Canis lupus familiaris: one gene and its partner. The protein of the gene in region 1 purifies or fractionates together with the protein of each later gene. This does not show direct contact. Links are inferred from orthologs where the notes say so. Each region holds a gene or a part of one and is shown on either strand. Other genes may lie near its edges.

What was found. The genes of interacting proteins can lie anywhere in the genome.
Region 2: the proteins of TNKS2 (region 1) and RNF146 purify together in Homo sapiens (co-immunoprecipitation; 3 studies listed by BioGRID and IntAct, with this or other methods). This does not show direct contact. The link is inferred for Canis lupus familiaris from reciprocal best matches to the Homo sapiens genes TNKS2 and RNF146.

Annotation. Positions count from the first base shown.
Region 1 is NC_049249.1:6,462,378-6,466,124, reverse strand, and holds the start of TNKS2 (poly [ADP-ribose] polymerase tankyrase-2), read right to left. Parts: upstream 2,332-3,747; 5' UTR 2,317-2,331; coding exon 2,118-2,316; intron 1-2,117. UniProt on the Homo sapiens protein: Poly-ADP-ribosyltransferase involved in various processes such as Wnt signaling pathway, telomere length and vesicle trafficking.
Region 2 is NC_049222.1:66,547,714-66,551,460, reverse strand, and holds the start of RNF146 (E3 ubiquitin-protein ligase RNF146), read right to left. Parts: upstream 2,768-3,747; 5' UTR 2,657-2,767; intron 1,873-2,656; exon of another isoform or gene 1,752-1,872; intron 1,466-1,751; 5' UTR 1,335-1,465; intron 1-1,334. UniProt on the Homo sapiens protein: E3 ubiquitin-protein ligase that specifically binds poly-ADP-ribosylated (PARsylated) proteins and mediates their ubiquitination and subsequent degradation. May regulate many important biological processes, such as cell survival and DNA damage response.

The sequences.
Region 1 (3,747 bases):
TCTTATTCCTTGGAAATCAAAACAGAAAGACAAAAATGTGTCCCCTCCTCCCAAAAAACCTCCAAATGTTAATTGGTTTAAAACAAACACCCACCCCCCCAAGCTTATCCTACAATGTACAAACACAAGAAACTGCTTGGTCAGGCAGTTTCACAGTCCCCACACCTACACTGAGTTTCCAATGGCATGTTTACATGCACGTTAATATGACTGACACTATCTACAGAAGATTATAAAATACATTTTCCACATATAGGAGAAAATGCAGCTGGATGAATTTATTTAAAAATTAAAATAGGTTCTCTCATTAATGAATAACTCAGACTGAATTTACAAAGCTAATTTTTTTAAGTTTCTTATATGCTTGGGTTTAAATGCAGGGCTTTTAATGCTCTTGTTTACTGTACGCCATTAGACATTTTTATTACTCTGCTTTTACACCTTGAATTATTGGTTGTATAACCTGTACCAGATAATTTGGGTAAATAGTGAGATAGGTTAGTTCCCAAAACAAATTTTCCATTTGTCTGAGCCACATCAAATCTATGTAAAAAAGTGCTTTGAAATGTTGGGACAGAACTAAGGGTAGGATGGTGGAGGAGGAACAAGGTCAATAAAAAGCTAATCCCATAACCTCTAAATATTACTATTTTCAGATGTGAACTCATTAATACACCAAATTCTTGAAAGGTAGCAACTAAGATCTTGCTTCGCTATTTTTATCCCACAGATCAAGTGAACAGAATCTAAGTAACACTACCCTTTGGATTACTTATCAGTTATGATAGTTTGCCAAATCAGTTGTTTAAATGTTGATTACACGGCTAAACAGGACAATCCAAAATAGCTGAGAAAAGACAGCACTGATCACCAAAATTTTAAGCAAAATGGCAAACAGGTGAGATTTGACTTCAGTGTTTTTCTCCTTTCCCTTTCTGCTACCCACAGGCTGTTTCTAGCTATCTCACCCAACTTCCCTCTTAAAAAGGCTCCCCAACAGGAACCTGACAAAATTGTAACTGATAAAGCATACCTTCTAGTATTCAGATTTTAAAATAAGGACAAATTAAAGCAAACAAATCAAGTAAAAGCAATGTCTGTGAACAAGGAAATTCTTCTTACACTTTCTCTCATTGTGCCTACTCCAAAAGACGGGTATCATTTTACATTTCGAAATTTTACATTTTCGAAAAACTATTTTAAATAATCATGTAATACAAAATGAAAAAAACAAGATTATTACAAGCATGAGAACCTACTCCCATTTTCAATCAGGATATAGTTAGAATCTCTTCTCCAAGTGAGAAGTATAAATGCTTTATGGAAATATACGGTCTCACCCCAGTTCTTCTAGATTCTTCAATTAAACTTAATACCTTTATATCACAAAGTCAATCTAGTAAATATTAAAGGAAAAGTAATTCAAACGATCTAAATCTCAGAATAAGGCGAGGTTGGCCCCAACTTTAATTCTAGGTCTAAGCTAAAGTACCTGCACTACCTTTTCCTCTCATCCTCCACTAGTATATGTAGCAGCCACGACCCACCCACACCCACCTTAAGTTAGATCTCAGTTCGCCCAAACGACTACTTGCAGTTCTAGACTCTCCAAAATCTTGCTAATGACTGACTACCCCGCTAAACCCGTTAACAATAATGTGTCAATGGCTAATTAAGCGACCCCGTAAATTACATCCTTGCATTTTACAAAGGCCTTTAAGCCCTTAACCCAAAGGACTGACAACAGTCATAGTGGAACTTGCAAGAAAGACAGATTTTGGAGATAATTGGCCTTTCAAATCACAAGGTCTAAGTTCCCTACTCTTTCTTGTGTATGGAAGCCTTTCTAGAGTAGCAAGACCGGAAGTTGGTACAGGTATTGTTGATACTAAACAAAGCAAAAAAAAAAAAAAAAAAAAAATTCCAGTTGAGTGGGGCACGCTCGCCCCCTAGCCCCATGTCCTCGCTCAGTCCCCAATCAACGAGAGCGGGGTGACCAGCAGCGGAGTCCGAGGCGGAAAGACGGGGGCAGAGTGTTTGGTTTCAGGCCCGAGAGCCGGGACGGGCAGGTGGGGTGCAGGGCGAGGCGAGGCGAGGCCGGCGTGGGTCCCGGTTACCTGCGGCGAAGTGGAGCGGGGTGGATTTCCTGCCAGCCGTGTCGCGGCTGTTCACCTTCTCCGGGGTCACTAGTCTCTTGACTCGCTCCACGTCCCCGTTGCGGCACGCCTCGAACAGCTCGCGGGCGCCTGGCTCCACGGCCTCGGCCGCCGCGCCAGCGCAGGCCGCGCCCCCGCCGGCGCAGCGGCGGCCCGACATGATCCTGGCCGCCGCCGCCGCCAGCAGCAGCGCGAGCAACCGCAGCAGGAGCCCCGGCCCTGCGAGCAAGAGGGCGAGGCCCCCTGAAGGAGACGCGCACAGGGCCCGGGCCGCTCGGCTCCCTGCTGTCACCGGGCTCGGCGCAGTCCCATGGCCGCGCCACCGCCCGGCCCTCGCTCGGCCCCGCGACCCCCGGCTGCCCCTCGGTGGCGGAGGCAGCGCGACCCCGCCGTTCCAGCCCTGAAGCGACGCGGCAGCGGAAGCTGGCAAGGCCCCTCCTGCCAGGTCCGCGGAGCCCTGGGAGGGCCGGTGACGTGGTGCCGCGCGTGCGCAGCGATCGGAGACCGGCCCGACCGATTTCCGCGCCGAGGCCGCGCGGAGGGGTTTGTGGGTAATGTGAGGCGAGGCTCTTCGGCGGCTGGAGGAGAAGGGGCTTCGTCCCACCGCCATCTTTGCAGTGGGTCAGGCTGAAGCCGGGTGGTTTTGTTTCGCTTTGTTAAGGCATGGATTTCCCGAGCTGAAATTCCTTACTGTTATTACCCTGAAAAGAGCCTTTGGAAGTGTCCCCGCGATCTGGCGTATTGCTTTGGAATTCTTAGTGTGGAAATCCATTTTTCAACTTTCACAATCCCTTTCCTGGGGGGGGGGGGGGGGGGGGGGGGGGGGTGGATTTCTTTCCCGTTTTCTTTCCTGTCTTTTCCCTTGCCTTGCAACTGCTATTCTGTTGTTTCTTGTGAGTCACATGTGGAAAACGAATGGGTTGTTTCCCACTTCGTGGGAAGTTTGGATGAGCTGCCCCAAGTTCATTTAAAGTAAGTTAGGAAAGTGATGAAAGTGTGTTCCGATTCTAAATTAATTGAGAGCGATGGTTCTGATACGTTACTCTTCCACAGTCATTAGCTCAGAACTTACGAACGGGCCCACGAGTGTATCAACATTGTACTGACTTGGCTGAGGTGTGGACACAGTGGGCATACGCATCGCAGACAAAGGTTAATAGTTTGCATTGATATATATTAATTTATATAATACTTACATATAATATACGAATTATATATAATTACATATTAATATATGTACACATATACACATATATAGGTCTGCATACGTATATAGACCATCAAAGAAAAGCGCACAGTTAATTGTCACGCTTAATGTAGTGATCCAGCTATTCCCTACTCCAGGCCCTGGCCTCAGGAAACTGCGTGAAAGTGAGGTATGGTTACATGAAATGACACATGTTGACCTTTGGCATGCTGACAAGCATTTTTCCCTTGTTGTCTTTAACTTCTTAACCTGTTTTTCAGGAAATTCAGTTTCTGTTTGGGAATGTTGACTCACTACTGTGCAAGAAGGTAGAGGATGTATGCTTTTAGGAACATTTTTGTACATATATAAGTTATATAATTATACATACATAATTATATATGT
Region 2 (3,747 bases), on another chromosome or scaffold:
TTTCACCCTATTCTGTATTTCTGTAATTCTAAATAGTTTAATTAACAGGCATTTAACATGTTTTAATCAATCCAAAAGGTAATAAGCCATAAACACTAAATATTCCATAAATAAGCACAAGTGGCTATAGGAGAATATTAATAAAATGGTTTCCATACCCACAAAGATTACTCCTAATCCAACCTGATGTTTCACAAACTCAGATTCCTTAGACGCAATCAGGAACCAAGTGAGGGAATGGAAAAAAGGGGTCAGCACCCTCTGTTACTGACACTGGGGGGAAAAAAATTCAAATATCCAGCTGACAATGTATCAGGCATTTCATGCCAGTAAATGCCTAATACATAAAATACTATTGTCTAAACAGGCTAGTACTGTGAAAAGAAAACAATATTCTCTAAACAGACTAATGTTTTGAAAAGAAAAGATCCAATACTATTCTTTTTCTTCTATACCAAGTCAAAACATTTCTGGATTCTTTAAAAAACAAAACAAAAAAAAAACAAAAACCTGTCCTATTCTTTTAACAATTCAAATTGGTGGAAACAGAAAACAAGATGCTTCACCCGTTGACACGTGTCTCCTAAAAGAAAAAACGCCATTTCCTTTTTCTTCCTTCTGAAGACCAGCTATTTGGAAAACTAGTGTCCCTGATGTTATAACTCTATCAAGTCTTTAAAATCCAGGAAATAACAAAACCCTCAAATATTTACCGTGATTTTTATTTTCCCTGCAACTTACATCAGCCCATCTGAAACATAAATTCTAAATCAAAGAGCCGGCTTAACAAAATGTTCCAATTTAAGATACACGAGGCTAAAGCAAACACATCCAAAGCCTATTTCTAGTCTGGCTTTTGCTTTTCTGGTTTTCTCTTTAAAAAGAGATTTATTGGGGCAGCCCCGTGTGGCTCAGCGGTTCGCGCCTGCCTGGGGCTCAGGGCCTGGCTCAGGGATGGAGTCCCACGTCGGGCTCCCTGCATGGGGTCTGCTTCTCCCTCTGCCTGTGTCTCTGCCTGTGTGTCTCTCAGGAATAAATAAAATATTTTTAAAAAAGATTTATTTGACCTATTTTCATGTGTTTTTAGGGCACTCGGATACTCAAGACAAACAGTATTTGTTGGTCATGGAAACGGCAGAGCCAGCATCATAAATCCTGTTACTCCTGGGGGTCATCTTCGTGTGTCCCACACTTCAGGTCTTTTTAGGAGTCCAAACACAGACTTGTCATTTGCTAAAAAGACAAAAAGTCTTAAGCCCTCCGGTGTCTGTAATCCTACAGCGCTTTCAACGCCAGTGTTACGCTTTCACATCCCATCTGAAAAGTACACACACCGGAGGTGGGGGTGGGTGGTGGTGCCCGGGGCACCTGAGACGTCAGGCTCTGAAGACAAGGCTTTTCCCATCATTTCTTGGCTGGCTTCCTCCCCCGACTCATCACTGCTCCAACATCACAGAAAATCTCCCTGAAACAGAAACCTAAGTACTTGTGAAACTTGAAAAGCGTCCCTGAACCGGCGCTTGGGGACAGAGAAACAGCGGCACAGACCAAGTGGGGCCCGGGGAACGCTGTGGGGGCCCGACGGGGCGTGACCCCGCGGGGACACGGGCGACCGCCCAGAGCCGCGCTCAGACGGGCGGGGGGGGGGGGGGGGGGGGGGGGGCGCGGGGCGACCCAGGCAACCGAGAACAAAGCGGCGGCCTCCGCCTCCAGGACGCCCTCCCGGGGGGGGGGGGGGGGGGGGGGCTCACGGGGCTGCAGGCGCGTCCACTGCTCCGGAGCTTTGCTCATCATCACCCAAACAAGGACCAAGACACGAAGACGCGGCGGTCTCACGGAGGGCAAGGCTGAGGGGCTGCTCTGGGTGTTGGGCAAGACCCGGACACTCGGGAGGATGGGGGGGATGGGGGGGATGGGGGGAGGAGGGGAGGGGGGACGATGGGAAGGACGGGGGGTGGATGGGGAGGATGGCGAAGAGGGGAGGATGGGGGGAGGATGGGGAGGAGGAGGATGATGAGGAGATGGGGAGGGAGAGACAGAGGGGGGGAGGATGGGGAAGAGGGGAGGATGGGAGGGGGAAGGATGGGGGAGGAAGGGGGAGGATGGAAAGGGGAGGGGGGGGAGAGGAAGCAGCCAAAAACGCTCCGGAGACAGACACAACGAGGGACCGCATGCCCCGGCTGCGCGGCGTCCCGAGGCCCGGGAGGCCGCCCCGCGGGAGCAGCAGGACGCCCCGGGCGGAGGCCCGACCCCGCCGCCGACGGGAGGGGAGGGGAGGGAGGGGAGGCTCCGGCGGCTCCGGCGGCCCCGGCGGAAGCGGCTGCGCAGTAATGGCCGCGGCGCCGCCTCTCGCACCCCGGCCGGGGGCAGTGCGGGGCCGGCGCCCGGGGCAGGGGCAGGGGCCATGGCGCCCGTCGCAGCCTTTCCGCCGGCCCCGGCCCTCCGGCGCCCGAGCCGCGGCCCGCCGGCCCAAGGGCGTCCACCTACGTCCCGGCCCTGACCCCGCCGCCGCCGCCGCCCCTCGCAGGCCCGCAGCGCACGGCCCACCGCAGCGCGGCCCGTCCGCCGTGACACCGCGCGCCGCCGCGCCTCGGCCCCGCCAGCAGCCCGCAGCGGCCGGCCCCCCGCCCCGCGAGCGCCGCGCCCCGACTCCCACCTCTCGGGCGGCCGCCGCCGCGCAGGCCTCCCTCTCCGGCCCCGGAGCCCGCAGCGGCCGGGAACGCGCGCGGCCGTCACGTGACCCGCCGTCGCGCCGCGGGGGGCGGGGCCGCGGGGGCCGGAAGTGGAGCCCGGGTCCCGCCCAGGCCCCGCCCAGGCCCCGCCCCGCCCTCCCCGCGCGCCTGCGCCGGCAGGTGCGCTGCTCCGACGCCGCCGCGGGGCGCCTCGCTGGACGCGGGGGCATTTGACACCTGCCGCGTTCGCTGTTGGCGGCCGAGCGATTGGATCGGAAAAAAGACAAAACAAAACTTCATTTCCTTTTGCACCTGTTTTCCTTCGACTGGAGCTTAGGAAGCTGGAGGAAGGGATTGATGAGCAGGAGGGTCTGGGACTAAAGAAAGGGCTTTTCTGGCTGCACCGGTGCGGTTGTGAATGTCAGAACCTGGGCAGTAGCCCCCGCTGCACGGTGGCCTATGCCTTGTCTTCCTCGGAATCCTATGTTTTTTTTCTCGATTTATAGTAAAATGAGGAAGGGGGAATAGCATGCATTGAAACAGTGTATATACATATATATTCCAACACCCCATGTTTCTTACTTGCAGTGCTGTTGCATTTGAAGGTTGCAAATTTTAGGGTCCCTGTATATGGAGAGAGGCCACATTTTTTTTATTCTTCTGAAATAATATTTCAAGGTATATATATATATATATATATATATATATATATATATATATATCAGGATACAGCTAGTTCTGGAAGAGGGCCGCCTGGCTCAGTGATGCTAAATGATGTAAACAAAAGCAGTATTTTTTTAAAAAATAAGTTCTGCTAGTGTAATAATGTCCAGGAGTACGTTCTCCAGCTCTAAGCTTCATCCTGTCTTTGTGTTCTCCTTAGCCACTCCTCTGACCTACACACCCCACGAAAAAAATAAGGCCAAAAATTTGATCCGTACTCAAACATTCCAGCTTTAAGATATAATACTATATGGTTGGCAAATTGAACACCAATAAAAAATAAATTTATTAAAAAAATAAAATCCTGAAAAAAAAGATATAATACAGTGAACGGCATCGTGCACATATCAGC